4 linked regions of the Drosophila melanogaster genome follow. The protein of the gene in region 4 interacts with the protein of the main gene of each other region in a pairwise test. Each region holds a gene or a part of one and is shown on either strand. Other genes may lie near its edges.

Evidence for each region.
Region 1: the proteins of CG10565 (region 4) and CG3491 interact in a two-hybrid assay, tested with the Drosophila melanogaster proteins (one large-scale study listed by BioGRID).
Region 2: the proteins of CG10565 (region 4) and CG15812 interact in a two-hybrid assay, tested with the Drosophila melanogaster proteins (one large-scale study listed by BioGRID).
Region 3: the proteins of CG10565 (region 4) and Jhbp7 interact in a two-hybrid assay, tested with the Drosophila melanogaster proteins (one large-scale study listed by BioGRID).

What each region holds. Positions count from the first base shown.
Region 1 is NT_033779.5:14,921,973-14,932,424, forward strand, and holds CG3491 (uncharacterized protein), read left to right. Parts: upstream 1-2,617; 5' UTR 2,618-2,762; coding exon 2,763-6,447; intron 6,448-6,507; coding exon 6,508-7,687; intron 7,688-7,743; coding exon 7,744-8,284; 3' UTR 8,285-8,593; downstream 8,594-10,452. Other genes in the region: side-II (sidestep II), read right to left, coding at 1-125, 977-1,107.
Region 2 is NT_037436.4:3,155,608-3,162,673, forward strand, and holds CG15812 (uncharacterized protein), read left to right. Parts: upstream 1-4,383; 5' UTR 4,384-4,489; coding exon 4,490-4,492; intron 4,493-4,499; exon of another isoform or gene 4,500-4,563; coding exon 4,564-6,117; 3' UTR 6,118-6,412; downstream 6,413-7,066. Other genes in the region: BtbVII (BTB-protein-VII), read left to right, coding at 351-1,534, 1,593-1,979; ND-30 (NADH dehydrogenase (ubiquinone) 30 kDa subunit), read right to left, coding at 2,950-3,608, 3,667-3,741, 3,802-3,865; rasp, read left to right, coding at 6,592-7,066.
Region 3 is NT_033777.3:25,234,153-25,240,450, reverse strand, and holds Jhbp7 (juvenile hormone binding protein 7), read right to left. Parts: upstream 2,838-6,298; 5' UTR 2,739-2,837; coding exon 2,672-2,738; intron 2,615-2,671; coding exon 2,377-2,614; intron 2,252-2,376; coding exon 2,006-2,251; intron 1,951-2,005; coding exon 1,749-1,950; 3' UTR 1,556-1,748; downstream 1-1,555. Other genes in the region: to (takeout), read right to left, coding at 1-85, 201-261; Sil1 nucleotide exchange factor, read left to right, coding at 5,054-5,189, 5,253-6,298.
Region 4 is NT_037436.4:21,132,750-21,141,014, forward strand, and holds CG10565 (uncharacterized protein), read right to left. Parts: upstream 3,605-8,265; 5' UTR 3,129-3,604; coding exon 2,869-3,128; intron 2,761-2,868; coding exon 2,615-2,760; intron 2,157-2,614; coding exon 622-2,156; 3' UTR 501-621; downstream 1-500. Other genes in the region: ICA69 (islet cell autoantigen 69 kDa), read left to right, coding at 1-413; Ac78C (adenylyl cyclase 78C), read right to left, coding at 4,358-4,471, 4,609-4,754, 4,817-5,045, 5,105-5,508, 5,582-5,762, 5,904-5,999, 6,055-6,821, 6,918-7,072 and 3 more.

The sequences.
Region 1 (10,452 bases), on a different chromosome or scaffold from region 4:
TCGCCCTCGTCGTTTATAGCACTGCACGCATAGTTCCCGGCGTAGTGTTTCGTAATCTTCTGGAGTACCAGGCTCTGATTCGAGCGAATGACGCGGGCGGATGTATTGTGCTCCAGATGAATACCCTGAAATTAAATGGATACATAATTATGAACGAAAATTGTAAGAGATAGTTTATTGGTTAAATCAATAACATGGCGTCTCTCAAACACTTTACGATGCTTATAAATGGTCTCTAAATTGGGTTTCTATAGTATTTCCTAGATAAAATGATAGAACAAAGTAATTACCACTTTTGAACAATATCGTATAAGTCTGTTGTTAGAACTCCGAAATCTATAAGTCTATTAGCAAAACTGAACTAATACAACAATGGATTATTCAGCCATAGTGCTGCCCAGCAATAATCCGTTCTAAAGCCACTCGGGTTCGAATTTCAATTTGCCAAAATCCGCTAAGCGCGTCCGAAAGGCAAAAATTCCCCACACACTCGTGCAAAACACACTTCCTCCCAATGGAGAGGAAGTGGGTTGTTGGCCGTAGTTTGCGGACTGTGGAATGGGAACTTGGCCTGAGTGATTGCCAAGCGACTGCGGATTGCAGTTGAGCGACGGCAAAATCAATGCCGCAAATCCCAAAACTATTTTACCCAAAATGGCACCACCCCATCTACATACATCACACAACCCATACCGGGCCAAAGAAACCACTAGAATGGAAATGAGCAAATGCAGATCCATGCATCAGGACATCGTCGGCGGCCGCCACTGACGGAGGAGCAGCCACCTCAACGCATACGCAACCTGCCATGTTATTGGCACTTAACCAGAACCGAATGCAAGGAGCCAGCCAAGCAGACGCCTTTCAGGGATGCCACCCGGTGGCTGTGGATTGAGCCGGATCCGAATGGATGGGTCCCTGGGTCGGTATGACTGCCCGGCTCACTCCTGGCCAACTTGAACACACTGCGACCTACATTATGCAACCACAACAGTTTCCGCCATTGAGGATTCGATTGTACGTGACACTCGAAGTAAACATCGTCGCCTTCCTTGATATCATCCGGTGTCAAAGTTGAGCCCAAGCGTAACGTCACCAAGGGAGGATCTGCAAAGAGGAGCAAAGAAGGAAGACAATTAGCCACTGGAAATCCAATAATAACCTGAAATGGTAATCTAGAACTTAACTGCGAACGCGTGAATACACTTTCTATACTTTTTAGGTATAGACAAAAACTTTTTATCACACACTTTTTTTAAATAAATGACATGTTGTAGCAATCGTCCTTGAAACATTTTGTGAGCACTTCTATTTATTTCCTGCATAGGTCATGAGCCTTAGAAAATCCGAAATAAAATGTAAAAGGCCTATTAACTCAATGTCTTACAACCAAAATCTTTTCGATTATTCATGCCCCGAAGTTGTTGTGCCATACTTTTTCGAGCTTTGCAACTGTCTTGTCATCGCCCAGAATCCCGCACACTGTCATGATCAAGCTTATTTAATAGTTTTTGCAAATATGAGCGATTTAGAGCAATAACTGGAACAAAGTGAAGCATCAGCCAAGAGTTATGAGGACATGGCAACGACATCCCGCCCATCGACCGCTGTTTGCCAACATGTGTTGCCGCTTAAGTCGTTTGAATTTGCTTAACGAGCCACAAACTTTGCGACAAACAGAGACCAAAAGCGGCAAGAACCCGGACCCAGACAAGGAGACCTAGTACCAGAACTGGAACTGGGACCGGGACCAAGACCAAGACCACGAAGAGGACCTGGACCTGGGAAAGAAATAGGAGCAGGATCGGGAAAAAGGGGACGCACGTGCCAACCTTAATATTGTTGAGTTATTGGCGGCCAAAACCAAACGTCGACAGTCAAGAGTTGGGCAAAACGGAACCCAAGACCAGACCCAAAACCAAACACCAAGCCAAAGCCAAAAAGTTCCCTTCCGCCTTCGCCTGGAAACTTTAGAATGGCCTGGAAAACTTTTGCCCAGCAAGGGTGGCATTTCACCGCCGCCCACTTGTGTAGGCCCCTCGTTTCTCAGAGTCTGCCAATCAGGCAAAGTGCCCAAAGGGCTGTGAAAACTCTTTCGCTGGAAAAGTCGCGTCGCGCATTTCCGCACACATGTTGCAGGCCATTTTTGTGATTATCATTTACCGTTCCACCACGGATACCCTTGCCCCGCAATCTCCCGACAAACTCGTTTCTTTGGCCCAAAACGACCATCGATCGATGGCGGAGCGGAAGTTGCTCAGAATTTATGTGCCACCGTGGGCTGTTGTATTATGCCAACTGACACACGGGATTTGCCAGGGCTGCAAATATTAAAGATATTTTGGCAACGTAAGACATGAAACTTTTTCTACCATATTTAAATTGGTTGCAGCAATTCAATCAATTGAGCACTCATAAATTATAAGCACATTCTTTTGGGCCAATCCAATTATGCACATATTTTTTTGAATAATACTTGTATTAAAATTTGAAAATAAATACTAAGCAACTCTTTTATAACCTAAAAAAAATAAATTTGTTGCCAGCATTTATCGAGCTGGCATTGAGCTGCCCTCTTAATCAACTTAATAGGCTGTGCGAAATTAGGAAACACTATAGTCGCACGAAATAGCAAAATTTTACTCAGTCGATGAGATTGCTTTCGCCAGTACAAGTCGGCAGTTTTAATTATAAATCACAAAAAATTACAAACTAAAAAAAAAAAACAAGTTATCCAAATCTGTGATTGTGAATCCTGCAAAATGCCGTGTAAGAGAAGGACAACTAGTGCCCGACCAACAGCCAGAGCTCGAGAGATCGAAGAGGAGCAAGAGGTCCACGCCAAAATAAGGTCATATTCACGTTCCAGGGCGACAACATTGAAGGCATCAAGCGAGGCCATCAATCGCGACGTTTCACATCCAACCAGCAATAAGAAATGTGAAACCAATCTGAATTCCAAAAATGTTTCGCAAAAAGGACAAAAGTCACAGCTAATGACAGAAAGCGCTGGGAAATTTGATTCGGAGACAAAGAGAAAACGGCAGGCGACAGTCAGTGGTTCCAAGTCCCAACTTTTGGACGAGTTAGCGAGTGATTCAGATAATTATGTCAAGCAACTTCGAACGTTTTTGCGAAGTACGTCAAATACGGACGATGAACAAAAGAGGGATTCACCTGCACGGCAAAGCCGTTCTAGATCAAGACGCAGATGTACACAAAAAAATGAAAATCTCGATGAACCGGATCAAAATACAATTTTTAAAAAACCGGAAGTTTCTTCCAAAATAAATTTGGAAAAACATAACCAGAGGACTTCAACGGATAAAGAAAAGCAATATAAAGGTCAGAAACTAAATTCCTCCATTGAATCGATTTTGAATGTTTATGATGAGTTACCATCACATTCGGACAATCAAGCTTTAAACTTAAGCCAAAAACGTAATAATGCCTGGACTACGAAGTTGCCTGAGAGCAGTCCAAAAAATATACCGAAGAAGAATTTCGATTCAAAGTCTAGCGATTTAGAAGAGGCCGAAGAGAAAACATATTTAAAACGTCAGTCTGAGAGGAATTTTTATTCAGGTTACCGTTCGGAGTCTGAAGGGACAAATATCACGCCGGCTAAACGTTCTAAAGCTCAAATCAACTCAATACCTAAACTAGAGTACAGTACTACGTACGGCCAGGCTCAGAATTTAGTCGTGTCGGAAAACGCTAACATAACACAAAAGCCGAGTTCAGATATAAAATCGCGTTATCGTTCGACTGAGTATAATCAGATTAACAAGCCAGATTCTCAACAGCCCATCAACTATGCCCATCAGAAGGAAGAAACAATAGATAGGCGTCGTGAAATGCACATGAGAAAGGAACATCAATATGTAGATAATCACCTGAACAACCCGGCACAAAATAAGCCCGATCGTACTGTAAGTTTTTTAGAAATGCTCTCTCAGGCCGAAGCTAAAAAAGAAAGTAATCAAGGTGCTAAAAAGCCAACGGTTAATAAAGTTTCTAACGTTTCTCAATATCTAATCGATCTTGGCTTTACTGCCGGTAGCCCTAACCACGATAGCAATAGCAATGATGGTAACGATGAGCAAGACAATATTGATAGGCGCCTGAATGCTGATCTAGATTCTTTATTTACGACTGATGAGCTGGCATGTCCACCTCCACCTCCACTAGCAAAGATTCCAACAAATCTGACAGTTGAAAGACCACATTCTCGGCTATCGGATCCCAAGAAAATAGAATCTGATATAGATGCACGCCTCCAGGCGGAACTGGATTCTCTACCCATGGTAGCGGTACCAGCTGACGAGAATATAGAACCATTAGGTAAAACTGACCAACACTTTTCAGTACCTACAAACAAGAACTTGTCGGAGAACAAAGCTTTTCCGAAACCGAATCAGGTATGCATTCCTCCACAACCAGCTATTCCTCCACAACCAGCCATTCCTCCAGCACCAGCCTATTGTATGGCCAACAAAACCATGGATACAGGAATGTCTAGCGTTGTTCAGATGGCTAATAATCCGCTTGCTTCAACTCAGCATCACGCCTTGCCACAAGTGCCGATAGTCACGCGACTTAAGGTTGATCAGGGTGAGGATGTATCCGTCAAATTTACCACCGGTCTGGATGGACTAATTACCAATGTGCAATTGCTGCCATCAACGATGGCAATGGGTCAGCCAACAGTGAAGGCCACCGAATTAGAAAGCTTTACGGCCCAGCAACTGAATATGTTATTACAAAGTGGACATCCCTACCTGTCCTTGCCCATGACTAACTCTGGAGTTCCAGGTGCCGTGCTACAGGAAACGTTACAGACCAAAGATGCAGGATTTCCATCTGAACAAGCGGTCGAAGATGAGGAGGTTGACTATGAGGAAATAGGGGTGGCCGACACCTTTGCAGCTTACTGGCCCAGCAAACTGAAGTTTGGAAGAGCCCATCCCGATCCCGTGGTGGAAACGGCCACTCTGTCATCCGTTGAGCTGCCCAATATAAACTATCAGTTGGCCCTGCCCTCGAAGACCACCGAATGTTTGAGTGCCCTGCAGCTGGAGGCAGTGGTCTATGCCTGTCAGGCTCACGAGCAGATCCTGCCAAGCGGAGATCGCGCTGGATTTCTGCTGGGCGATGGGGCTGGTGTGGGCAAAGGCCGCACCATTGCCGGCATTATTTTCGATAACTACCTGAAAGGGCGGAAACGTGCCCTTTGGGTCTCGGTCTCCAGTGACCTCAAGTTCGATGCAGAGCGGGATCTAGCCGATATAGGAGCCCACGAAAAGATCCGTGTAGCGACAATCAACAAGTTTAAATACAGCCCCATTGATTCCGAAGAAAATGAAAATTTCAAGCGCGGCGTGATATTTTGCACTTACACAGCTTTAATTGGAGAATCAATGACGACCAACTCGAAGTACAAGACTCGTTTTCGCCAGTTGACCAATTGGCTGGGCAAAAAGTTCGAAGGAGTGATCGTCTTTGATGAGTGCCACAAGGCCAAGAACCTAAGCCTGATGAATGTGGGTAAGTCCACCAAGACGGGAACGACTGTTCTGGATCTACAGAAACTGTTGCCAAACGCCAGAGTGGTCTATGCTTCAGCCACGGGAGCAAGTGAGCCCCGGAATATGGCCTATATGGTGAGATTGGGCCTGTGGGGTCCAGGTACCGCCTATCCAGAATTCTACGAATTTGTTAACGCCGTGGAGAAGCGCGGCATAGGAGCCATGGAAATCGTTGCCATGGACATGAAGCTAAGAGGTACTTACATAGCACGTCAACTTAGCTTCAAGGATGTGAGTTTTCGCATCGAGGAGGTGAACATGTCGAAGGAATTTCGCAAGAGCTATAATTTGTCTGCCGAACTCTGGGCTGACATACACAAGAAGTTCCAGAAGGCGTGTCGCCTAATGTGCGTCGAGAATAGGGTGCAGAAGATTATAACCTGTCAGTTCTGGTGCGCCCATCAGCGTTTCTTCAAGAACCTGTGCATTGCCTCCAAAGTGAATCACGTGGTCAAGATGACGCGGCAGGCGACACGAATGGGAAAGGCGGTGGTCATTGGCCTTCAATCTACTGGGGAGTCGCGTACCCTGGAGCATCTAGAACGTCATCATGGAAAGCTTAACAGCTTTGTGTCCACCGCAAAGATGATCATTCAGTCGTTTGTGGAAAAGCACTTCCCAGCTCCTAAACGCGACTCGTTTCATCATTTACTAAATACGGGTGAGTTTGAGCCGGAGGCACGTTCCCGCCCACCCAAACAGAAGAAGTCAAAAATGAATACCGATTGGGTTGAAGATGATATGGATGCCGAGGCGGGCGAAAGCGACATCGAGATGTACGAGAGAAGCTGTACTGCGGCTGTTGAGAAGATTAAGTCTGGACAAAAGCGGCGAGGACGACCGCCCAAGGCGGACAAAGGTATGTTGATCTAAGTGGTTTATTTTGAATAAATATTAATCATTTTAATCCCTTAACCAGTGGAGAAGATTACCATGCAGGAGCGCATCCTGGAGCATCTTTGCAATAATATGAGGGAACAGGATAACGAAGATGAATCCACAAACACTTCCGACAATACCAAGGTAAAGGTAAACATCACGGAGCGTGATGTAGAACGCTGTATAAACATGCGTGAGATGCTGCTGGAGAAAATCGATGTTCTGGGCAGGAAGTTGCCGCCCAACACGCTCGACAAACTAATCTCTGAACTGGGTGGCACCAATTTGGTGGCCGAGATGACAGGCCGTCGTGGAAGAGTGGTGCGAACGGAGTACGATGGGTATAAGTATGAGCCACGTTGTGAAAACGACTCCACTATGGACCTGGTCAATTATCGGGAGAAGCAACGCTTCATGGATGGCAGCAAGCACGTGGCCATCATCTCGGAGGCGGCCTCCAGTGGAATATCTTTACAGAGTGACAAGAGGGTTTCTAATCAGCGGCGCCGTCTGCACATCACTTTGGAACTCCCATGGAGTGCAGATCGGGCCATACAGCAATTTGGGCGCACCCATCGCTCCAATCAGGTCAATGCACCGGAATATGTATTTGTGATCACCGATCTGGCTGGTGAGCGTCGATTTGCATCCACGGTGGCCAAGAGACTGGAGAGCTTAGGAGCCCTTACCCAAGGCGATCGTCGTGCCACCGATGCCCGTGATCTCTCCCAGTTCAATATCGATAATAGCATCGGGCGCAGTGCCCTTGAGAATGTGATGCAACAGCTGACCAGCAATAAACCACTGGACCGGTCTCAAGTGCCTCAATCGTATAAGGGAAACTTCATATACGATTGTTGCGTGGCAATGGCCGGCGTGGGTATGATCAATGTGCGGGAGGAGAACAAGGTCAAGGTGTTCACCGTGGAGAAGGATAGTAATAATATCTCAAAGTTTCTAAACCGCATCCTTGGATGCCGGGTGGAAGTGCAAAATGCACTTTTTAAATTCTTTCTGGACAAGATGTACTCACTGATCATGCAAATGAAGCGCACAGGACGCTTCGATTTGGGGATTTTAGATCTGGATGCCCATGGAGCAAGTGTAAAATCCATCAAGCTGATGAGGTTCATTAGGAAGCACGCCACAGGAACGGCGGCCACCGAACTTCATACGGTGACAGTGGAACGTGGTATGTCCTTTGAGACAGCCCTAGCCAAGTGAGTTGAAATTTATATGGGTTAAGTGTATTTAACTAACTTATAAACTCCCATAGATACCGAAAGGAGGGCCAATACGAGCACGAAGGCTTCTATATTCTACAAAAGCGGCGCCAAAACAAGAACTCCGCAATTTTATGCCTGCAGGCACCGTCCAATTCATCGGATGTATCAAACGGAAAGATCAATTTGCAAATCTACCGACCCAATACAGGTCCCCAAGTGCGATTGGAGACACATGCCTCCATTTCATCACGATATGTGAAGGTAAGCCCGGAGGAGGCCCAAACATACTGGGTGCAGCAGTACGAATTGTGCTTGAATATGTGCTCACACCTCTACTGGAATCGGACCTGTCCAATGCCGACGGGCTGTGAAGTAGGACTCCGAATGCGTACCTATCACGTGCTCTCCGGGTTAATGCTACCGATTTGGGACCGGATCGAACTCATTATCGTAAATAGCGGACACAAGATCCAGATCATACGCATGAAGACCGATGCAAACAAGAAGATAGTGGGTACGGTGGTACCGCCTGCCGTCTACGATGACCTGGTGGCCGATTTGTCCACGGATTCCCTCGTGGAGAGCCATTAAAATGACACCGCCCAGTGTACGGCGAAGCGCACAGCACTTCTATTGCCACTTTAAAAATATCAACCGAAATTGTAGCATTCAATGCAATACATGTGGCGTAAGCTTTCGCTTTTTCAAAATGCCAAGCACGCTCCACCAGCTCCACCCAGGAGGAGCAGCACGCCCATGTTCCCGGCAATAAACAATGGCCACAGAAGCACATACGGGAAGACACTTACAGCTCGTCTGCGTGCGTATGTGATTCATATGTATTGTCTGCTGCGCTGCGGAGTGAGCTTCGCATACACTAAAAAAAAAATAAAGCTACCCAAAAAAAAATCGTCTTGTTTTTTAATATATTGTATTATGTAAATTGCAAAGGTAATTGGAAGGGGTTGTCAATCACAGCCAGTAGAATGGCTTAAATTTAATTTAAATTAATAATTATGAATGAAATGAAACTTGTTACTTTATTTAACCGCAGTGCTCTTTCTTTTCCAATCCTGCGCTCTTTGGGGGATGTCTGTGATTGCATTCCATGTTTTGTCTTGTTGCCATTGCTAGGAGACCAACTAAGGCTGCCCCGCTCGGTTACATTATAAATTTTAAAACGACCCAGTCGCTTGCACCCTGCCACACATGCGAGATATAAACAAAATTATACAAAGGGGAGGGAAGGATTGTGGCGCATGAGATGGGCAACGCGTGGCATAAACCATGACCAAATGGCCTTGGCAAATGTCGTGCCTAAGGAGCCAAAACGCAGTTGGCATAATAACTCACGCGTGATGCAGATATCGTATTCCAACAGCACTGGCAACAACAACAAAGACATAAAGATGCCGAGGCATATAAATTCAGTTGTTATCTAAATAAGAACAAACTGTTATTTATCTGGCCATAAGGGTATGTAAGGATCTCTAATGAAGTTATAGCCAACAATATTTGCAAATTTCAGTTTTCCTAATCCTTTTTTTTTAAGTAAACCCATGTTATTGGTCTTGAATGATTGTAAGCTCTAATCTGATCATAATTTGATTTCTTTTCTGTAGGACATCAAAGTCTTAAATAAATAAGCAAGTTTAAAAGAACTTCGCAAGCCTGCCCCAACAGAAGAATTTTTTTAAAAACACAAACATTTGGGCGCACATTTATGTGTATGTGGCTACGTGCCGATCATAAAGTTTATTTGCGCCAACGTAGCAACAAACACAACACCGTAAGGACGGTACAAAGCACCGTCAATTGCTATAACGTGAGCAAAAACAAACAAATAAAAAATAATATTCTAAAACATAAAATATGAGCCTGCAAAGTATGTGTGGGGCATAAAAAATATAATCATATTACGCCTATACACACAGCCAAACGCAAAAACACACAAACGTACTTTTTTCTTTTGGGCGTAAGCGAAACTGTTCAGCGGAGGCGTGGCAACCTCTTTCAGATTGAAGTAAAGAAAATATTCATATTTTAAGAAATGAAAAGCAAAGAAACGCTATTACGTGATGCCCTTGGAAACAGGAAAAATAAAATGGGGAACAGAACGGAGTACGAAAAATGTTGACTGTGGCATACATGGCGGATACGGAACGCCATTGAGTTCGATTCATTTTCCCTATCCGGCACTTTTGTTTCACACTTTACGATGTCCGCAGTACTTCCCAGTTGGTTATTTCAGTGCTGTGGAATACGAATTAAAGTGGCTTAAAGTGGAAATTACAATTATTGGGAGATTTTGTTCATTCTGCAGGTAAAATCTGTGCGTGGCGAAAGCATTTCGGATTCAGTTTCAGATCTACACTTTAGGTCTACTTTGCAAAGTTATTTTTTATTTATTTTTATTGAAACGGGGCCACAGCTAAAGTCCTTCATTTAATTTAAGCGACTGCCATACATTTTGTTAGCCCACATATTTCATTTGTGCCTGTGGAGCCCCTCCTGGCCACCACGAACGCTACAGTGTTTTGGCCCTTTGGCAAATTATTCACAATTTGTCATTTGTCTTTGATTTATTTGCATTTTAAAGGCTTTCAACGGCAGCGATGGTGATGGCGACATCGCCGCCGTAATAAATTTCGGCCTGGTCTGGTTCTGAACCAGGCCCAGGACTGTCTACCTTTTGGTAGCTGTCGGCAATTCCTTTGCTTGCCCCCCGCTTTCTTTCTTTTCCCTTTTGGTTTCTTCGG
Region 2 (7,066 bases), about 18 Mb from region 4:
GCGTAAGTGCATAAAGAACCGATTGTATTATAAGTTGCATGTACCATACCAAGTAATGCGCGCCACAAACGAATCCAATATCGCGATGGAACGAACATTCTAGACTGTAGTCGATGTGCAAGAAACGAATAAACTTTCAAAACTACAACATACTCCACCTGCTCCCCTGGCTTCATTTCACTTTTCCCATTCAGAAGGACACGGTTGCGAATAGTTTCAATTGAAATGATTTGGAAATGATGGACCCAACATATTCGCAATATTCATATTTCATAATGAATCTTGGGCAACCGTATCCACGCTTTTTAGGCCGGTTCAAAAACTAATCCTTTGACACTATTTTCTTACAGAACCCAGTCCGGCGCATGCTCCTCATCCGCCACATCCTCCGCTGGGGGCTGCGAGCAGCAGCAGCGGTGGCAGCGGAAGCTTCGAGCGCTCCTTCAGCATCGGAGGCGTCGGATCCGTCGAATGTGATCCAGATGGTACGCCCAGTTCGCCAGCGGTGATGGGCACCAAGCGCAACCGGGTGCTCACCCGTCAGCCGAGGGTGAAGCGGGACAGTGACAGCATCTCGTCCACGAATCAGATATCCCCGGATACGGCTGCCACGACGCTCGACTTTGATCCATTCAATGCTGCGGGCGCCACGAGTGCCACGGCCAGAGATTACTCTACGACGGGCTCGCATCATCTGCACCATCAGTCAGCTGTGCACCACCATCATCACCTGCTAACCGTTCCACCGCGGATCGAGCGCCATGCCTCTGAACCGGCACCCAGTTTGGCCCCCTCCACGCCGCACCTGCTCAGCGTGCCGTCCAGCACTCCCTATCTCATCAAGCAGCACTCGGATCCGTTGCTGCCTCGCCAGTCCGCACTGCACATGGCCGGATCCGGTTCTGGATCCAGTTCCGCGATGGCAACTGGCAGCAATCCGTTTGCCCCGCTGCACCGCCAATACTCGCATCCGTTGTCGGGTTCAAATGCCAGCTATGTCACTCCGGCGCCGCTTCACCATCCGCACCACATCTCACTGCCCGAGTCCATCTACGCCTCGGGGTCTCCGCCGCCGGCCGGCTCCTCGCAATACCTGGTGCCCACGCGCGTAGTGGCCTGTCCAGTGGTTTCTAGTGAAACGGCGGCAACGCCCACTAATGCCAGTCCCGGCTCCTCGTCGACAGTGTCGGCGGCCGTGTCTGTGGTTACCTCACCCAATGCGGGGCTACAGAACAGCGCCAGTAGGCATCCGTTGTCGCCCACTTTCTCCATTGGATCTGATGTGGCACACGAGCGAAGGTCTCCGCACTCTCCCTCCATCAGCAGATCGCAAGTCGTGGAGCGGGCGGGGAAGAATCCAGCAGAGGCCGCCAACGGAGGCGGTTCGAGGCTGCGGACTTCCAAGTCTGCCTCGGGCTCCATCACTGGCACCCATCTGCATCCCGGCCAGGCCACCATGAGCAGTTCGTTTGAGCATTTGCCCACGCTGCGTGTCAAGAACGAGGAACTGCAGCGATCGGTGTCTTCACCTCAGGTGAGTTGGATGTGTACCCGACCGAAAGATCACTCACACTGACTTACCTTTGTTGCAGACCCAACGGGAGATCATCACTCTCGAGAATCCGCGTTCTAGTCATTGTCCGGTCATTCGACCGGGTCCGGCGCTGGGCTGCAACTTCTGTTGGAACACCATCGACGGGCATGGACGCATTTTGCGCCGCAAAACGAAATACCATTGCCCGGAGTGCCAGACGAATTTGTGCATTGTGCCCTGTTTCCAGGAGTATCACGAGCGGCTGAACAACGAGGCGGCCGCTGCATCCAGTGGAGCGGCAGCGGGCGATAATCAGCTGAGCAGCAGCACGACGGGATCGGGGAGCAGCAGCAGTGGCAAGGCATCGCCGTACGTCTCCTCTGCCGGCAGTAGCAGCAGTGGAGCGGGTGCAGCTCGTCATTATACCAAGACGGAATCGATATAATCTGGAGCTGCCGTGACCAAGCCCGCATATTTGTATTTGTGACAGGACGGCCGCCGAAAGGTTGACCTCCATCAGACTAGAAGCCACGCATTGCTCGTCCTTCATTCTGGAACATGGTCCACACATGGCCGTCTGTCGAATTTGTTTTTTTGTCAGCAGGAAGCGCGAAAAACGCGCGCTCACGAACTGCACCCAAATTTTCATTTGTTGTCCCAGTCCCACTGTGCATCCGGCCCGGAGTCCGGGCACATGGACTGCGAGAGAGGGCGCCAGGTGGCGCCAGAGAATTGTTTTTTGAGCCGTGCCCAGATGCACGCTGCCATTGTAAAGTAACGAAAATCTTTTGGAACACCGTCGGAATGCGGGGTGAAAACTTTTTTAAATCGCTAAATGTAATAATATGTTTATGTGTGTGTATCTATGTACTATATGTGTATGTTCTTGTACAAAAAAAAAACCGAACTAAAATCTAACAAAAATAAAACGTTGACGACGGTGCAGCTCGAAGCTCGAATTACGATAAGGTTTTCACCAAGTACAACTATCACTACCACTACCCCAATCCGCTCCGGCCTAAACTTAAGTACGTCCTTGCACCTGTACTTTCGCCGGGCACCGCTGCGCAGGCGCACGAATTGTCTAGTGGCCCACACTTGTTTTACTTAACGTTTTATATCTATGTATGTATGTACGTATATGCACATGGCCCTCGAGGAGGTTTTCGGATGTGCTAGATCCGGCGAATTCGTTTAATTCTCAGTGTAAACTACCATGTATGTAAACAATACGGAAATCAATAAATACTTGTGACCCTCTGGTTTGATACGAATTGCGTTTTCATGTGGAAGTAGTTTAGGAACGAGCCAAGAAAGCTAAATAGCTAAGTAGACCGTCGTTTCCATTATGTTTAAACATCTCATAGTGATCACGTTTTATTGATCTAATTACCATTTAACAAACCGACTTCGGATTACTTCTTGGCTGGAGCCTGTGGCGGAACTACCTCGGCGGGGGGATTAGCGTTGCGGAAGTTGGGGAACTGTTCCCAAGGCGCCGACAAGTCAAACTTCCTGAACTCCTGGGCCAACTCCAAGGGCTCGCAGACGACTCGCTTCTTCTCATCATCGTAGCGCAGCTCTACGTAGCCGGACAGCGGGAAGTCGCGGCGCTGGGGATGTCCCTCAAAACCGTAATCGGTCAGGATGCGGCGCAAGTCGGGATGGTTGGCAAAGAACACGCCGTACATGTCCCAGATCTCACGTTCGTACCAGTTGGCCGCCTTATGCACCTCGCAGGCGGAGTCCAGAGGAGTCAGCTCATCGGTGTAGGTCTTAACGCGGATGCGCGAATTGTAGCGCAGCGAGAGCAAATTGTAGACCACCTCGAATCGGTTCTTGCGACAGGGCACATCCACGCCGGCAATGTCAACCAGGTTGGTAAACTGCGCCTGATGATGATCCTTAAGGAACTGCAGCACGGGCACCACGCCCTCTGGCGCAATAAGCACCTCCAGCTCATCGCCGGCGGTCAGCTGCACCTTCTGCACGTACTTGGGCAGGCACTCGGCCACATAGCGCCCGAAATCGGAGAGATGCGAGCGAGCGACTGCGTCCGGCTGGCGGACAGTGGCTGTGGGTGGAATGTCTTACATGTAATTGACACCGCGATAAAGTCGACTTTTACCTACGCTTATCCGCCTTCTTAGGCTCCACTGGCGTTGTACTGGCCATCCGAAGAGCAGTGGATCCAGCAGCGGGCACCACTGATTGTTGAAGGGTTAGAATAGATCAGTTGAAGCTCTAGAGGCAAGGCATTTACCAACCATGTTTGGCCGACAGAGCGGCGACTGCGGCACGGGCACCCAGATTCCTGATTAAGGCCGCCATTCTACAAACTGTTCAATATAAATTCAACAATTTGCTCCGTTTTTGACAATTTATGTAATGCTAAAATGTCAATATAGTTGTTGGAGCCTAGGGTTGTCAGTGCGCCAAATTAATCTACTCGACAGCCCTACTTCGGTATTTTGACAATTTCGGTACAACACAAATACCGCACATACATTATTGTATTTCGTGTACGTTAACACCGAATTATTCTTCATTAAAAACCTCAACATTTTTTTGGAATATTTGCTTAAATGATTTATATAAAAAATAAATATACCCTACTACTTGATTTATTATTTAATTAAAAATACCAACACGTTCCTTGAAGTACAGCAGATGGAAAACATTTACAATTATTCTTCATTACCAACCACAAAACTTTTCTAGAATATTTGGTTAAATGATTTTTAAAAAAAAGAAATGTACCCTACTACTTCATTTATTATTTCATTAAAAATACCAACACGTTCCTTGAAGTACATCTCATGGAAAACATACCGAAATACCGAGATCTTAGGTGCATTCGACTACCCTGGCTGAAAACTGTGACAACGCGTTGCGTTTGGAATTGCGAGAATTGAAAACTTCTTGGAAATCAATTGGAAATCAAAACACAACAAGATGGTAAGTGAAACGCGTCCTCCCAAATCCCCGGGATAAGTGAAATTTAAATCTACAATCGTCGCCGTTTGCAGAATCATCTTAAGTGGATGGGCCACTCATCCACGATAATGGACATCCAGCGCTCGCTGCGTAATGATAATCAGCACTGCGAGGTGGTGCTGGCCTCCAGGGACGGCGTTCGAGTGCGCGCCCATCTATTCGTGCTAAGCACTTGCAGCGAACTGATGCGCAACCTCCTGGTGGACGTTCCGCGCGGCCAGGAGGCAACCATAATGCTGCCCGACATCCGCGGAGATTTGCTGGAGTGCATGCTGTCCTTCATTTACATGGGCGAGACTAGCCTGCCCTCCGCGTCGCTCCCCGAGTTCCTGGAGGCCATTAACCTCCTCGGCATCAAATCTGCCATCAGCTTTGAGTGCAATCCATCGGCTAGTCCACCCAGTGTCGATGTAGAGAACCATTCGTTAGCCGTGGAGTCGGCCAAGTCCATTACAGGACTCCAAATCGCTGAGGCCGAGCTGCTGGACGACGAGGAAGAGCCACATCCGATGGTCTCCGTCCCAGCCACTACACTCGCGGGTTCTCAACACCAGCCCAGCCATTCCAGTCGGTCATTGGAGTACATTGATGTCTACGAGCCGCCGAAGATCACCTACTCCATCGAGCACATGGACGGAAGTTCCAGCGGCAACCAATTTATACTCACCGAGAACACGGGCACTTTCACCATAACGCAGTCAGCATCGAGTTTGTCCAAAATTGAGGCAGATGAAACGGGTACCAGTGGCGCTGAAGTGGACCTGGGCGATGATGACGTGGATGCGGACCTTGCTGAGGATTCTGAGGAGCACGAATCACAAATGATCGACGAGGAGTTCGCGCAAGCCGATCCTCTTATGGAACTAGAAGCTGGTACTGAAATGGACGACGATGACGACGTGCACGACCAACTTGTGGACGAGGAAATAGACGATAAGCCCCGCAAGTTGGGCGGGGGAAAGACGCGAATCCGTCGCCCCATAAGTGCGAAGGCTGTCAAACGATTGTCCGATTGCAAGCCAACGCGAATCCAGCAGTTCGCAGCTCTGAAACGTGAGGTAAAAGACGATATCAACGATGCTTTGGATCTGGCGGCCGACGCGGTTATCATCGAGGGCTTAAGCCTACAAAAGGCCGCCGACCGGTTTGATATCTCCAAGACAGTCCTCTGGAGACGCGTGCGCACTAATCCCGCCTACATGCGAAACAATCGGGAACGACCATCCCTGCAAGAGGCCTACGAGCGACTGAAGAATGGACATTCTTTAAAGAGCATCAGCAGTGAGTTGCAAATCCCCATGTCCACGTTGCACAGACACAAGGTTCGTCTGTCCGCCCAGGGACGCCTGCCCAACTTCGTGTCCTGCCGAAAGCGCGACAATACGCCCAAGGATGAGCTGCGCGACAAATTAGCCAAGGCGGTGCATGCCTGCCTGAATGAGGGAATGTCCCAAAACCACGCGGCCAACCTCTTCGAGATCCCCAAGAGCACGCTCTGGAGACACCTGCAGCGACGCACGACGAGCCAGAATAAAAAGGTCAAGAAGGAATTGAAGGCCAATTACGGAGACGATATGCTAAACTAGAAATAAGCCTTCGGAGTTCTGGTTTTACAAACGTTCAGCTGGAATCAATAAGTTACCATTAAGAAGCCATAAGCATAGGGTTTAACTTCATGTTGTCCCATCAGTGTATGTACATCAACCATATCCTATCTCCTGATGAAACCAAAATTGAGTCCGGAAGAGCAGCAAGAGATGCTATTCTAGAGGTAGTTTTGTAGACTTAGTTCTATATGTAGATACCATTACCATTTTAACTGCTGCTCTTTTATTGTTCACTCCATCGTAATTGGTTAATTAAATACAACCAAAAATTAACAAAAACTTCTTTTTAAATGGGTCAAATTTATAACATGAGAGAAATATGTACATGCATGTAATTAAAATGCCGGTACTCTTCTCCAGCAAGGGTATAAAAATATCGATATTTTCGCTGGTTTTTCACATCCCTATCGCAATCTTTTCCCGGAATGAAGAGTCCAAATCGGTGGTGTAGTGATGTCAAGGTTACCAGACCGATCCCTGCTCACCCGCTGCGAAATTTTCGTCTACTTCGGGGTCTATATAGCGTATATAGTTGTGGGCCTGTACAAGATCTATGGGCTGCGGGATCACATAGTCAAGGAGGCAAAGTTCCAGTTTCCGGAGGGCTGGAGTTTGTATCCTTTTTCCCAGCGGCGTCGGGATGACAGCAACGATGAGCTGGAGAACTTTGGAGACTTTATCGTCAGCTTTTGGCCCTTTTACTTGCTGCACGTGGCTGTCCAAGGATTCATACGCTGGAAACGTCCCCGCCTTCAGTGTCTGGGATTCATCGGCGTCTGTGCCTTGGCTCTTAGTGTAAACCTGGACTGGTCATCGATGGTACTACTAGTCACATTGATAGCCAGCTACTACATCGTTTCCCTGCTCTCACTAAAATTTCTCGTGTGGCTTTTGTCCGCTGGCTGGATACTGTGCATCAATGTGATGC
Region 3 (6,298 bases), on a different chromosome or scaffold from region 4:
TCCGCCGAGTTTTCGCTGAACAGGGTGTTGCACAGCTTCATGATACATTCGCCATCACCATACTTACAAGGTTTTGGATCTTCGGCTGTGAGGAACACAAAGGATTATTTTGGAACCGAAAAGTAGAGGTAGGTGTCTATCTAGGTTTCCCAGATTATTACTTCATTGGCAAGGTCTTGTTTTAAAGGACTTTCTCTTACGGAATTTGGCATCCACCGAGACCAAAAGGCACAAAACCACTGCGAATGCGATTGCGAACATGCTAACACGTCTATAACTTTAAGTTACTGAATACGAACGGGATTTTCGCCTAGTATTTATAGTGGTCCACTAAGTGCAACTCAAATAACGTCTAATGGCAACCTTTGATATAGCTCTTATCTGTGCCGTAACCGTCTGTCTGTCAATTCCAGAGCTCGTTTCAGAATCATCAACTAATAACGAATAGCAACTGAATCATCTGATGGTATTAGGTAAGAAAACGTTGTTCTAATTTCAATACAAGCCTTAGTTTATCACCTCATTTGGGTGCACTTTAGACAGCAAGTAGATCATGTAGCAAATCTTCTTATTCACCTTAATCTTCATCAATCAGTTACATCGAAAATCCGCTCAATGAATTTAAGTATCAGACAGATTATGTCCAATTAAAAGTCATGGTATTAAGTTCTCCCTTAACAAAGTTAACTGGCAAGTGTGCAACTCACAAAAGGGCCAGTTCCAAATATAGCCGAATTGAGATGCGAAAACAACGCAGTCATCGTGACCACCAGTTCTTTAGTTGGCTTTAGTTCTTGCGAATCGAAGTGAAGGGCAGTGGAGGAGTAGCGGTGGAGTAGTAGCTCGGAACAGGTCCTAGACTTTGGGTTAACTTAATGACCAAGTGTCCCGCTTTAAAGTCCAGCCCCCGTGGAGAACAAAAGCAACTTGTTTCGCTCGGAATCGCTGCAGTTGATTGCTCGCTCGTGGAAGATTTTCACTGACCCAAGGCCAACTGGGTGTCCGATTCCCTGGGATCGGGATGGCAGCTATACCGTTGGCTACTCTTGAACTTGGACAGTGAAATGAGTTCGCAATGAGTGACAGCACAGTTGTGTTCAGATTAATAGCACTGCCATTTAGTTAGTTCTTGATTCTAAGACAAGCAGATCTTAGTCATATATCATATCATCATATCATATACTAATTTTAGTGCACTTTGGGCTAAATTAGTTGCACAGGATGTAGGAGTAGTAGTAGGAGCATGCATCTTCGTCTTTTTTAAGACACAAAGTATTTGCTCATAATAATTAAGGTGTTTATTTCAATTTGTTGGATGTTTTAATACTTTAAGCGTATGTATAACTACGCTTTTATCCACAAGTATAGTCACCTTAGCAATAATGCCTTTGTCATGCAAATTTCGAATCAATCGTTCCATCACGTGAGCTGCCTGTTGATTGCTGATTGCTGGCCAAAAATGAAACAAAAAGTGTATGCGACACTTGTGCGGAAATAGTGAGATCCACGTTTTAGCTAACAATGGCCCCCCGCAGAAGCAGAACCAGTTTTTTTTCGAATGTTTTTGTTTATTCTACAAGTTAAAGCTTAGCTTAGCAGATACGATGATACGATGATGATGTGTCAATGGCCGGAATGCCGGAATGCAACGCCCCATGTGAGTGAGAATAGCTTGGATAGGTGAGGAAATACTCGTACACTTAGCCTAAAGTCCTAGGGCGCCTGATGGCGACTAGGACGACTAGTGCTCAGTTCTCGAGGAATAAATCCTCGTAGGCGAAGCGCTTGAAGAGCTGCGAGAGAACGCTCTTCATGATCTCGGCGATGGCCACATGAATGGAGGGATGCAGCTCGTTCCACACCTCCGTCCAGTTGTCGTTGAGGAACTGATTCAGATTGGTGCCCAATGCCTGGTCGCCATTAAAGAGGTTCTCCAGCCGAATGTTCATCCTGTGGGAACACAAATATGTTAGTATATCTCAGCTAAAATCCGAACTGCACCTACTTTTGTGGCTCCACCAGAACCTTGAGCTTATCCACGCTCAGGTAGGTGCGTCCATTGCGCTGCTGTGTGCCCGGCTTGAATTTCACCGAAAACTTGGGATTGTGCAACACGATCTCGGCATCGCCATCGCCACGAATCGGCAGGATCAGGATGCGTCCATCCGCCACGTACTTGCCCTTCAGCACGATCTTGGGAAAGGATCCGTACATCTCAAACTTGCTGGTTGCAGGATCAGCGCCAAAGCCACTGAAAAATACGATTATGATGGATAAGTGCAATCAACTTAATATATCTTCTTCTGTTAATAAACATGAGAACTTCTTCACTTTTGCTTAAGAAGGAAATCACTTTTCATTTCACTTGCTACTTACACGGCTCTGTCGAACTTCACACTGGACAGGCCCTCCACATTCACGTCCCTGAAGTTGAGCTTTAGATTCAGGGAGCCAGTGCGTCCGTCGGAGATGTCGAAGCGCTTGATCAGGAAGGGCTCCACCTGGGGGAATCCAGCGGACGGATAGCCGGTCCTCGCGTGCTGTCTGATCAGCATGTGCGACACGTTGATGATGCAGCTGGTGTCGCCCATGTGGCAGCGCGGCAGTTCGGGAGCTGCAAGGATAAGCTGGCGATTAGCGAAGCACTGGGATTGTTGGCCAAAGGACTCACGGAAATTCGAGGCACCGCTAACCAAGCAGCAGAAGAGGGCCACGCAGCCCAGCTGGAGCAGCATCATTCTGGATATGGATCTAGTTACGTACGAAATTCAAGCGCCCCGAAATTCAACCGCTCGACGATTTGGCGAATGCCCGACCAGGTTCAATGGCAAACTGTAAATCGGCTCTGGACAGACGGCGGCATTTATAAAATTTCTGATCGGCCAGAACGATGGAGCGGCAACAAATGTGGCCAACAACAACCAGTACACTTCATAGTTTATTCATTCCTGACTTGTCGCGTCTTGGCCCTTGTTTTTCTTGTTGTTGCTGCTGCTGCTGTTGTTGTTGTCTGTCTGATTGCTGGCTATTTTTATTTATATTTTTTTTTTATTTATTCGTATGTGTATATCTCTTTCGCTTCGTGTTATGGATTCTCCTCATCATCATAGACATCGCAGTCTTTATCTTTATCGCAGCTACCCCTAACCAGAATTGGCAGCAGCATTATTATTAATTAATATTATTAGCATGCAGCAACAAATAACAATAAACAATAACAATGGCAACGCGCACAAAAGGCAGCGAAACTCAAAATTTTAATGCTCAATCCAGTCAGTTTTCAAGCAATTAACCAATATATTTCCACTTATCCTGCAATGCATTATATATATATATAATTTAATTATACATATATAATTTGCACTATATTTCGGCATCTTGTGTACTTTTTATAGATTCAAACTCCGTGAAATGGAATCCGCGCTTTGTTCACACTTTTAATAAAGTGCAAATATCAATTCGTACTTATTGGCTTATGATATTATTCATCCCATATTTGCTTTGAGATCAGCACTTGGAATTGGGAACCTACCTCTGGGGGAATTCCTAAGTGTGCTAAATGGCCAGGCAATCTGAAAGGGAATGATAATGAATAGGTCATGGTTAAGGATCCACGATAAAAATCACTTAAGTTATGAAATTGTATTCCGACCAGAAGGAAGAATGCATCCCAAGGCTCCCAACTATGAAATTTCCGTTTTGGACATATGTACGAAGATAAATCTTTTTGTGGCCAACACAACTCAATTCCGACATAAACCAATTAGACATAGTCGGGCATTTTGGACGACATCAAACAGGTTCCAACGGCATCGATAATCGATAATGGATGGATCGACGGATAAAAGTTGCTCGGCGAGGTGGCTTCACTTTCAAAACTATTGGACAGGCGACGTTCGGAACGGGCCGAGTGAATTTAATTTGGCAAATTCTAGTTAAAGGCTCCTGGCGTTCGTCATCAGCAATTAGCATATACTACATATATACATATGTATATGTATATTTGGTGTGTGATTGGCATGAAACCGGCATTCTGTTTATTTACCCATCCAATTGGCGCCAGGTGAGTCCAAATATTTCACTTTTGTCCACTTTGATGTGTTTGCGCAGCCAATTCCTAGACGCTGTCGTAGACATCGAGATTACAACGGATTTTCGGGGGCGAAATATGGTAATATATGCAAACACGCTTTTATTTTATTACGTCGGGCTTGCCTGCAAATAATTTGGCATTTCAATTTTGAGTTGGTTGATTCATCTGCGCGTAAACATGATTTCGTTTTTCTTTGTAAACTCAGTAAATACGTTTAGTTTATAACTAGTTTAGCTACGTTGTAACGAAGTGGAAAGCTTATGAATGGCGGTTACTTTTCAATTTTTAATGAATTCACGATGAGTTTGGGAATTTTTGGTGGCATTCTGGTTTGATGTGGTTTAATCGTTCTGAATGGCATTAACTTTTTCTGGTTCTTAAATATTAATTTCAAGTCTGGAAATTTCTAGCAATGCTTGTTTTTCACAACAAACTAAGGTTTAAAAATATTAATATTTGTGTTCGTTAGGGATAAAAATTAATTTGTTAGCGAAATAATGTTTGAAATCATTTAAAGTTTCCAACTATTCCGGACTAAGAGCAAAAATTAACCATAAAAATTTTTACTTAATTTTTGTATTACTTATTTATATAAGATTTGGCTTGGAATGTCCAACAGCACAATCTAATAAATATAAAGAAAGATTATAAAGCATACATATAGTTTACACTTTTTCAATACTTTAATATATTCTATTGTTTATAACGAATTTATTGATTACAAATATTTTCAAATTTGAAATTGAATTGTAACCGCCTTTGACTGGTTCCGAATCGACTGGCTCTCCACGGAACATATCGCCACATGCGGTATAATCAATGCAGCTCCCTACGGTCATACTATTAACCACATCCACATCAGAAGTCTGAAATCTGATTTAAAAACTCTCACGAAACTTACTTAAAACCAGGTGAAATAAAGACTGAATACATTCTGGAGGCAAGACAAGCTGAAGCAGTATGAGTGGCAAGCAGGTAGTCATCCTTCTGGGCAGTGTCCTGATCCTGGGATGCTTACAAGTGGCAGCGGCAACGGAAACGGATAACAAAACCAACGATTTCGTGGCCACCGACGAATGGCAGACGATTGCGGAAGGTTAATGGCTAGCCAGGCTAACTCTCGGATGACGTGTACTAAGTGAGCACTCTATATTTCCAGGTCAAGCTATTCCAAGGGGCCTGCACGTGCGCATCAACCTACAAACGGGGCTCAAGGAAGCCAAACTCTTAGACGAAAGCGAACGTGGCACGTCGCTGCAGAGTCAACCGGATGATCAGAATGCTCGGGAATCTCACGATGACAACGAACCCCTGGCTCTGGACTATAAACCGGACATAATCGAGGAGTCTATACGGCGGGTCAAGGAGCAGAAGAAGAGCTATGCCGAGCTACGCAAAGCGTACAAAGAGTTCCAGAAGAACTTTCGCACCGACGGAGAACTGATCGTCCAGTTAATCGATCAGTTTCGGAACTTCAGCAGAACGCCGCTAGAGTCAGAGATGCGCTCCAAGCTGGACTGCCTGGAAAATCTGGAGTATTTGCTCCATCAGATAGACAATGCCTTGATGTTCATTGATAATGGGGGATTGGATGATGTACTACTGCCCATTGTTGTGAACGATACCAGTACATCCCTGAGAGTGTCGGCCATGCGTGTGTTGGGCTCGCTGGCGAGCAACAATCCCAAGGCCCAGATCAAGGTGTTCGAAAAGAATTTCGGGTCTCATCTGGCTCAGATTCTGACCAGTTCCGGAAATGTCGGTGAGATCTCCGCTGCATTGCACGCCTTTGGAGCCTTGTTGCGGAAATTTCCGCTAGCCCAGCAGCGAGTGCTTTCCACCTCGGGTACACAGGCTCTGATCAAGGTGCTCCAGAGTCCGGATGTGGAGCTGCGGAGCAAGGCGAAGGTAGTGACTCTCATAAGCGACCTAGTGCTGGAGAAGCGGTCAGTGCTGGATGTCAGCAAAGATGATCCCGAAGCCTCATCCACAATGGCGCAATATGTGCTCTTGGACTTCGAGTCGTGGCTGAAAACGCCGGGCTACTGCGCGGCGGTGGACACTGTGCTAACCAAGGAGTTCCTGCTCCTCCTAGAGCAACCGGAGGTGGTGGAACAGTTTGCCACCGCATTGGAGACCACCGAAGATATGTGCACCAGCACGTGGTCGCAAAGTTCCGGTCTCAGGCATGCACTATTAACCGTT
Region 4 (8,265 bases):
ACGAGTACCAGGACAAGCTGGAAACCCAGCCGGAAATCAAGGAGTCCGAAGAGGACAAACCAAGTGCACCTCCCAATGCCTGCGGCGACAATGAATCCTTGCTTATTGAGCTTTCCAAGCAGCTGGAGGACAGTCCTCTAATAGATGCGCCGCTGGATGAAGATATACCTGCCCAAAATAGCACTAACAAGCTATGGTCCCGCTTGTTTAGCCAGCAGAATCAGCAACCCATACCGAGCCAAGTAGCCACGGACTCGAAGGCAAGTGCAGGTGGCGCCACCCCGGTTCCCAGCAAATCGCAGACCACCAACAATCCCTGGCTGGATCTTTTCGCCGACTTGGATCCCTTAGCCAATCCGCAAGCCTTCGATTTAAAACTGAGCGGCGGACGCAGTGTGGCCGAGCAGACCTGAGCAGATTACCCTCCCGCACAGATTATATTTGTTGATCTGCATATACCGTTGGAAACTAGCTAGTCAAAATGGAGAATCTTTGGATGTAACTTTTCGCTAAACGTTCAAAAACTTTTTATGTTTTATTTAAATAAAATTTATATGGGACACAGCAGCTAGAAGTGGATGAGGCGGACGAGAGGCAGGTAAAGTGGAGCAGGAGCCGCACTCATTTGACCGCCGCCTGTGCCTCCTTCTTGGAGTTAACCAGCTCGACCAGCTCTTTGACGCGACGTAAGCAGTCCTTTTTACTGCGATTCGGTATGCAGGCGGCGATGCAATCCCAGCGATCGGGTGTCGTCGTTGGATAGGTTTTAATGGCCTGTTCGAGCAGGGCTTGCTCCTCCTTGGTCCAGGTTTTGGAGGCAGCACCGCCGCCCGTAGACCCATTTGTGGCCGGAACTGGGGCTGGTGCAGCCGTGGGGTTTGCTGGAGCTGGAGCCGTGCCATTCTGCTTGGTTGACTGATTGTTCGCCTTATGATCTACACCGTTTTGTTTCAAGTTCTCCTTGCTCGCCTGGGCCGTCTCCTCGCCCAGGGTTATATCCTTACACGTCTGAACATCTTTCTTGGACTTCTCGAAACTGGCAAATGCCGCATCGTTGGCTTGAGTCTTCAGGGAGCTCTTCGAGTGATCTGTGTTCTGGAGCGCCTTGGCTTTGTTGAGCACATCCCTGGCATTGACCAGAACAGTGTTATCCGGGCTATGCTGGTTAATGAAAGTGGCTATGACATCCCAACGCTGTGCAGTGCCAGCGGGAAACAGATTAACCGCCTTGATAAGCAACTGCACGTTCTCATTGCTCCAGAGCTCATTCTTCTTGACCTCCTTAACGCCTTTTGGCGTGGCCGCTGAGCTGGCAAGCTTCTTGGCCTGTGTCTGGTTAATCTCCTCCAACTCGGCAGCTATCTTCTGCTCGGCCGTTTGAAGGGCAGCAACAAACGACTCACGGCCCTTGCTTTCCATTGCCTTATTTAGAGCTTGCAGCTCTGCCAGATTGAAGGTCTCGCAAATCTTCTCGGTGCCCTCCATGTGCTTCAGCTGATCCTTGTCGTTCTTGGCATAATACTTGCAGTCCTTGACCTTGTCGCGCAGCGTTTTGCGCTCCTTCTTAAGCAGCTTTTTCTGCTGCTCGCGTTCGATGCGGATCTGCTCGATGCGTTTCTGCTCGGCCTTTTCAGCCTTCTCCTTGGCCAAAGCCGCTTCACGGATGGCACGATCAGCTTCTGCCTTCTGGGCCTGGGCGGCGTCCATCTTGGCTCGCTTGGCAGCAGCCTTGCGATCCTTTTCCTCCTGCTTGAAGCGCTGAATGCGCTTATCATTGTTGTAGGCTAAATCGACGAGCGACCGGATACGAGACATTTCCTCCTTCTTGCGCTTGATTCGAGCCGCCCTGTTCTCCTTTTCGATCCAGCGACGTTCGTCGCGGTCCTGGCCCTTCTCCTTGTCCTCTTCGTCCAAGTAGCTGAATTCCCGCCATGACTTAAAATCGTACCAGAAGTTGTAGAAGCGCTCCACCTCTTCGCGTTTGGCGTCCACCTGCCCGAAGGAGGGAACATGCGGCTTTTCGCTCCAGCGCCCGTTAAGTGTGAAAAATTTGTTAAATACGCCAAAGTAGTCGTTATCGATGTCGTTCTGTGAGGGCAGCGAGTCGTCAAACTCGGGATCCACTGAGTCAAAGCTGCGGCGCGGCTTGGATGTGCCTGGAATACAAGATGGAGTATTAGATGGTTTAAGAGGAAATAGTTTAAAATCTTCCTGTCTATTTCGTACAATTGTTTACAATTATTCAAAGTGTTTAAAGCCAAAAAAATTCTGTTGTATAATAGTAAGTTATAATTTGGCATTTTGTTTAAAAGAATGTGAGAGCAAACAACTAGTCCTATTTTTAGATATGCAAAAATAAAGCTTCAAGTTCTGCGCGCTTAGACAAAGGCAACAGCACACCAATGAATTAGATCGAGTATAAATTAGTTTCAGATAATTTAAAATCTTAATTGATTATTATACTCAACAGGATTGTATGGTATCATAATTTTATATAGCTTAAGCAAATGCTCTGAAAATTAATATCAAAATATTCTTATCTGTCGATTTGCATGGGCAATGCGAAGTCCGAAGGACACCCAAGGATCAGCAAGGACATTTTCTTGACACCCACCCAGTATCTCGTAAGCTTTGGTTATGCATGTGAAGTAATCATCGTCCTGGATGACTTCCTCGCCCTTGGCTTTCCGCTTATCGGGATGGTGCAGCAGAACCATGCGCCTGTAAGCCCGTCGAACATCATCCTCGCTGGCCTCGTATCTAAAGGGTGATTTAGTCAGACAATACAGTATTAGTTGGGGAAGTCCCATTAAATATTGATAGAAACGAACACATGGGAAGAACACCACGTGCTGCCGTCGCACTAACCGGAGCTTGCCCAAGCCAAGAACGGCGTAATGATCCTGGTCCTTCCACTCCTTAGGATCCAGCGACTTTAGGTAGCTGATGTCCACCTCCTCGCCCACGCCCTCCAATTTCTCATCGCTTTCGCTGCGCTCCACGCCGCCGGGAGCTAGAAATTGGCGCCGTTGCGCAAAGTAAGCGAAGCCAACGCGCTCGATTTTACGGCGAACGACCTTGAGCGGCAGCTGCACCTCCACCGCCGTTGCTACCGTACCGCTCGTCATCTCTGGTCAGGTCCGCTGGTTAATGGGCATTCACCGCCACTCCTGTGGATTCACGTTACTCAAAATTTGGCGATCCGCTGCCTTCAAAACGTCGAAATCCAATTAATAATCACACTTTTCCGCAGCACCGCATGTGTTTCGACTAGTGGTGGTGAAACATCGATGCCATCATCGATTATGGCGCTGGTAAAATCGATTGGCTTCCTACTCTATATTTGATCGATAACAGCAAGCATGTATCGCTGGCACTTATTGGCAGTGCTGCCAGCTGCTATAGCTAAAATCGAATGGCAACTGTTGTATTGGTTTGGCGCCAAAGTGTGACCGTATCTCAACTAATGGTTATTTATGATTTATATATTTAGTTAACCGTCTTAACAAATTATTAATCCACGTTCATTACATAACAAATCCTACACTATTAAATACATTCCACATTCGAGTTTTTGTTATAATGGGCCACTAAAAAAAGAAAGTGTCATACAATAGTTAAGAAAACGACTGTTTATAATTCATTTGAATGATAACTTGACGTATATTCCAAAAACCATTAAGTTCTACCATTTGTTAGTTTTGCTTATCACATTTATTTATAACGAATTGTATAATTACAATTAAAGTGCTAAATAAGTGCTGGCTGTATAGTAATACACCTTTTATTTGCCAAAATCCATTTCACATTTCAGTAACACTTGACCTCATTACATTTAGATGGTCGTAAAATATTTTATACATAAGTATGCTTACTTTATTTACATTTCCGCTCTTTGATCAAAAGAAACGGTTTGTACAACTAATATTTGGTTTTCTAATTGATTACTGGCTGTTAAATTGACTATTAGTACTAGAAAACTAGTTGGTACACATTATGGTTGAATTGAACGAAGCTAGTAGGTTCATTGGCATTTCGTATGGTTGGCTTTTGTGGGAAGATCCAAATATCTTACTCTAAACAGATTTGAAACGCACACATATAAACGACAGTTCTTAAGTTTAACGACTAGAATTGTGCTGAGATAAATGTAATTCTTGCAACTTCAAGTATGGTGATTTAAAAATTCTACTAAGTAGCTTCAGTGTCGTTCTCCACCATTTCATTTCAGTGTTAAGCCAAACTTTGAAACATATGCCGGCGTAACTCCATTTGTATAAAATCGTTCCAAAAATAAATTCATCAGACACTCTATCGCCTTGAGATCGACTTAGACCCAGTGAGTGCGCGTACTCGGCTATAACGCATCGTTGTGGCTCTTCGATATCGTCGTCTCGATCTGGTCGATCCGTCGGAACGAGGGCATATAGCTAGAGCTGGCCTGCGTGACGATCGAGTTGTTGGAGGAACTCTAAAATATTGAATAGGAAAAATATATCATTATATAAGATAGGTTCTAGAAAATACTCTTTCTAATTAAACAGAATCATATGAACAACTTAAATACTATTTGATATATAATAATTTTTGAAACACTACGTATTGTACCTTTTTCTGTCGATATGAACGTCCCCGAACACGGGTTGTATTCCGGCGCACAGGATTGACCGTGGTGGACTTTTGGGATAACCGGACCGAGCTGAACGTGCTTCCCCGATGTCCTCGACGGATTTGCGGCGAAGGAGTGCCCGTGGCTTAAGCATTAGAATCAAATTAATGTTATAAGAATTTTAAGTTACCCGAAAGGAACACTTACGTGTTCCGGCAATGGCTGTGCTGCGTTTGCTAGCCTGAAGCATTCCGAAAACCACGGCACTGAAGGATCCATGATGGGAGGTCTGCCGCTGAAGATTCGGGGTTTGGGCCAGGGGAATCCCGGCTGGCATGCGAACCGGTGAGATCAGCTGGCTCTCCGATATTCCCTTGGGATGCACATAAAAGGTGGTCATCATGCCCTTGCCCTTCACAGCGATTTCACCACGTTTCTGTGGGATTTTGAAAAAACGTATAAGAATTCGGGATAGGTAACAAAAGACCCACTTACCACACACGTGTAACCCCTGGAGCAAAGCAATTCCGCCGTATTCTCCGGAACCTGAACTCGCCAGTTCTCGCCCGTGGAGTCCATTCGTGATGCCACATTGACCGTATTGCCCCAGATATCGTAGACCGGTTTCCTGGCTCCAATCACTCCACTTACCAAAGGACCACTGCAGATGCCCACACGCAGCTGGAAGTTATTGAAGGCATCCCCATTGATCTCCTCCAGCTTTTGCTTCATGGCAAATGCGAACTCCACCAGGTCGCAGACACTATCCTCGGAGGTCTCGCCGCGAAGTCTGAGATGCTCGTGATTTAATCCCGCTGCCGCCATATACGTGGCACCCACTGTTTTGATTTTCTCCACCGATGCGAATCGTGGCTCCTCCAGCAATTCATCAAAGTCACCTGGTTTGATTTGTGCCGTGCGGCATCATTAGACATTTGCAACCGGGAGACAATGCTTAATCAATCAACTCACAGATAATCTCATTGAGAATACGTATACAGGCCTTGCCATTGTCGATGTCCTCGGAGTAAAAGTCCTGGAAGTTCGGAATGGAGGCGAACATCACGCCGCAGAGATTGTGCATCTTGGAGTAGAGCTCGTCCGTGTGCTCGTCGGATAGGTAATAGGTGGCTACATGGTCCGGCAGAATGTTCTGCAATCAAATGGTTTAATTAATGAAAAATGCAGAGGAAGGAGCAGGTAGACCAAAATAGAATTGGGTTACATTTTCCCCTTCCTATTTCATGGTTATTATCCCCTTTTTTGGCCCTGTGTATTTGACCAAATATCTTACCTTAATTAATGTGTCATTAAGCGCGCGATTGGATTTCATGTTGGTCAGTTCACGCTCGGCTTGTTCCTTCCATATGAAGTCCAGACGCGAGGTTACCTGGGGAAATCGGAATGAGTGATGGGTCGAAAGCATTGGTCGCACCTTCTCTTACCTCCACCAATCTAGCATGGTAGCAGACCATCACCAGGAAGGATATTAGCAGTATCAGCATTTGGACTCCAAGCGGCATGCCCAGTCTGGAGAGCTCCACCAAACTGAAGCTATCGCCGGACCCGAACTTCATCATGATCAGCGTGGTGTAGAATGCCACCATGGCCAAGGCCATCAGGGCCTTGACCAGGTAGTACAGCTTCAATGCGGTGGCCAAGGACACCAGGCAGAGCACCCAGGTGAACACCAAGTACTCCGGATGGGCGCACTGCCCCTCAACATCCGAGGAACTTTGCATCACCGAAGCATCTGAATAGCTGAGGTTACTGAGAGAAACACTGTGTCCATTTGTGGTCAGTGTATAGGGCCGATGGGACTGCGGTAGTGGAGGAGTCAAATTCAAAGTGAGGGCGTTGAGCGTGCTCCTCACGAACTCGTCGGAGGGACCACTACTTGTAATATCCACCAGGGGAGTGGGCCCTCCACTGGCCGGAGTGCTAATTGTGATATTGTGATGGATGGTGGCAGACAGATAGACATTCAGCTTGAACTCCTTCTCCGTCATGGAGATGTTGCTGTATGGCGAAACCATTCGCAGGAATCGTGAGTGCTCGTCGGCGGTGCCTATGTAGGTGGAAGAAGGGCACAGGACCAGTCCTATGGCACTCAGCATGCACATGGACACGATGACGCCGCAAATGAATAGAGTGCGACGCTGCCGTTGGTGTACCAATTTCGCAGAGTTCGTCTTCAGGCAGCGGGGTAAACCTAGGGAGTAATGGTGGAGTATTTAGACCTGAGGTACTGAACTTGAGTAGTTTTATGTTTTTCATAATGCTTTGATTCAATTGTATTCATGCTCACCTGGAAACTCCTCGGCCATGACCAGGACGCAACAAAAAGTTAGAATTACCGTGCCCACGGAGAGACAAATAATGAGACGCGTGCAGCGTGGAATGATGATGACCTGGCACAGCACCATAAATATCCAGATGACAAACACACACAGCATATTGGATCTGAATGGAGTAGATGGGGTCGGTACAAAATGGCAGGGGGGGGGGGGGAGAAATCAATTAGCAATAGTTCATTAATTAAGAGAGTCCTGGCCTTTGTTGGTTTTCCATTAACAGGCCTGCACACGCACCGGAACATATCCTCCCGCAACTGACAGAACTTCTGCTCCTGGCTCTTGTCCTTGAACTTGAGGGTCCAGGGATTAAGGTACTCGCGTCGGATTTCCTTATTCGAATTGATTTGAATGTTCTGCTCGATGAACTCGTCGATCTGGATTTCGAGGAATCGGGTTGTATTGTAGAAGCGGGGGACTGCTAGTTGACTCCACTTACCTCCTCATCCAAAACCGCCACCGAGACTCTATGATCCTCCTTCGTATCAACCAGTATGGAGTCGGCACGATTTAATCCATCTTCGGGACTGTTAAGCTACGGTCGCCAAGATATTATATGTGAAATTTTTGTTTAAGCATTAAAGTAAGTGACCTTACGTTCTTGAACGGAATCTCGGGTATCCAGTCGGTGGTGGACTCATCCTCAATGATCAGACCCTTGCCGTCGATGGCCTCCGCCAGGTTTTGAATGCTGCAGGCTCCGTTCCTGGGTCGCAGCTGGACTTCCAGAGGAGCCGACATCATGGCGGTGGGAGAGGACACGGTGGACATGCCGCATGGGCCCGTTCCCCCACCTCCGGTGCCACCTGCTCCTCCCATTACGCCACAGCCGTTCCTAATCCTGCGGCTGTCCATGGCCACGCCCTCGACCACATTGGGCAGGGAGTTCAGGGATATGTTCTTCTTCTGTTGCTGCTGAAGAAGTTGCGTGGGCTGCTGGGCGGGCACAGCAATGGTGGCCGCGTACTCCAGACTCCGTCCGTCGATGCTGGCGCCATCGTTGCCTGTCGCGGTGACCCCGCCGATGCTTCCGCTTCCGCTGGCCGAGATTGATTTGGGCAGGGCGGTGGGCGTGGCGCAGGGGGGAGCAGCAGTGGCCACACTTCCCGCCAAATGGGCGCTGCTGCGCGTGCCAAAGCGCCGCTTGGGTCTGTTGAAGCAAGCGAAGGGTTAGCAATTGTCGGTTTGGTATTTGAATGCACTCGCAGAAAAGGTTGTGAAACATAAAATAAAGATATGAATAAAAATGTTTAATTTCTCTAATGAGATGCCTAACAATCGTACATATCCACTTATATACTT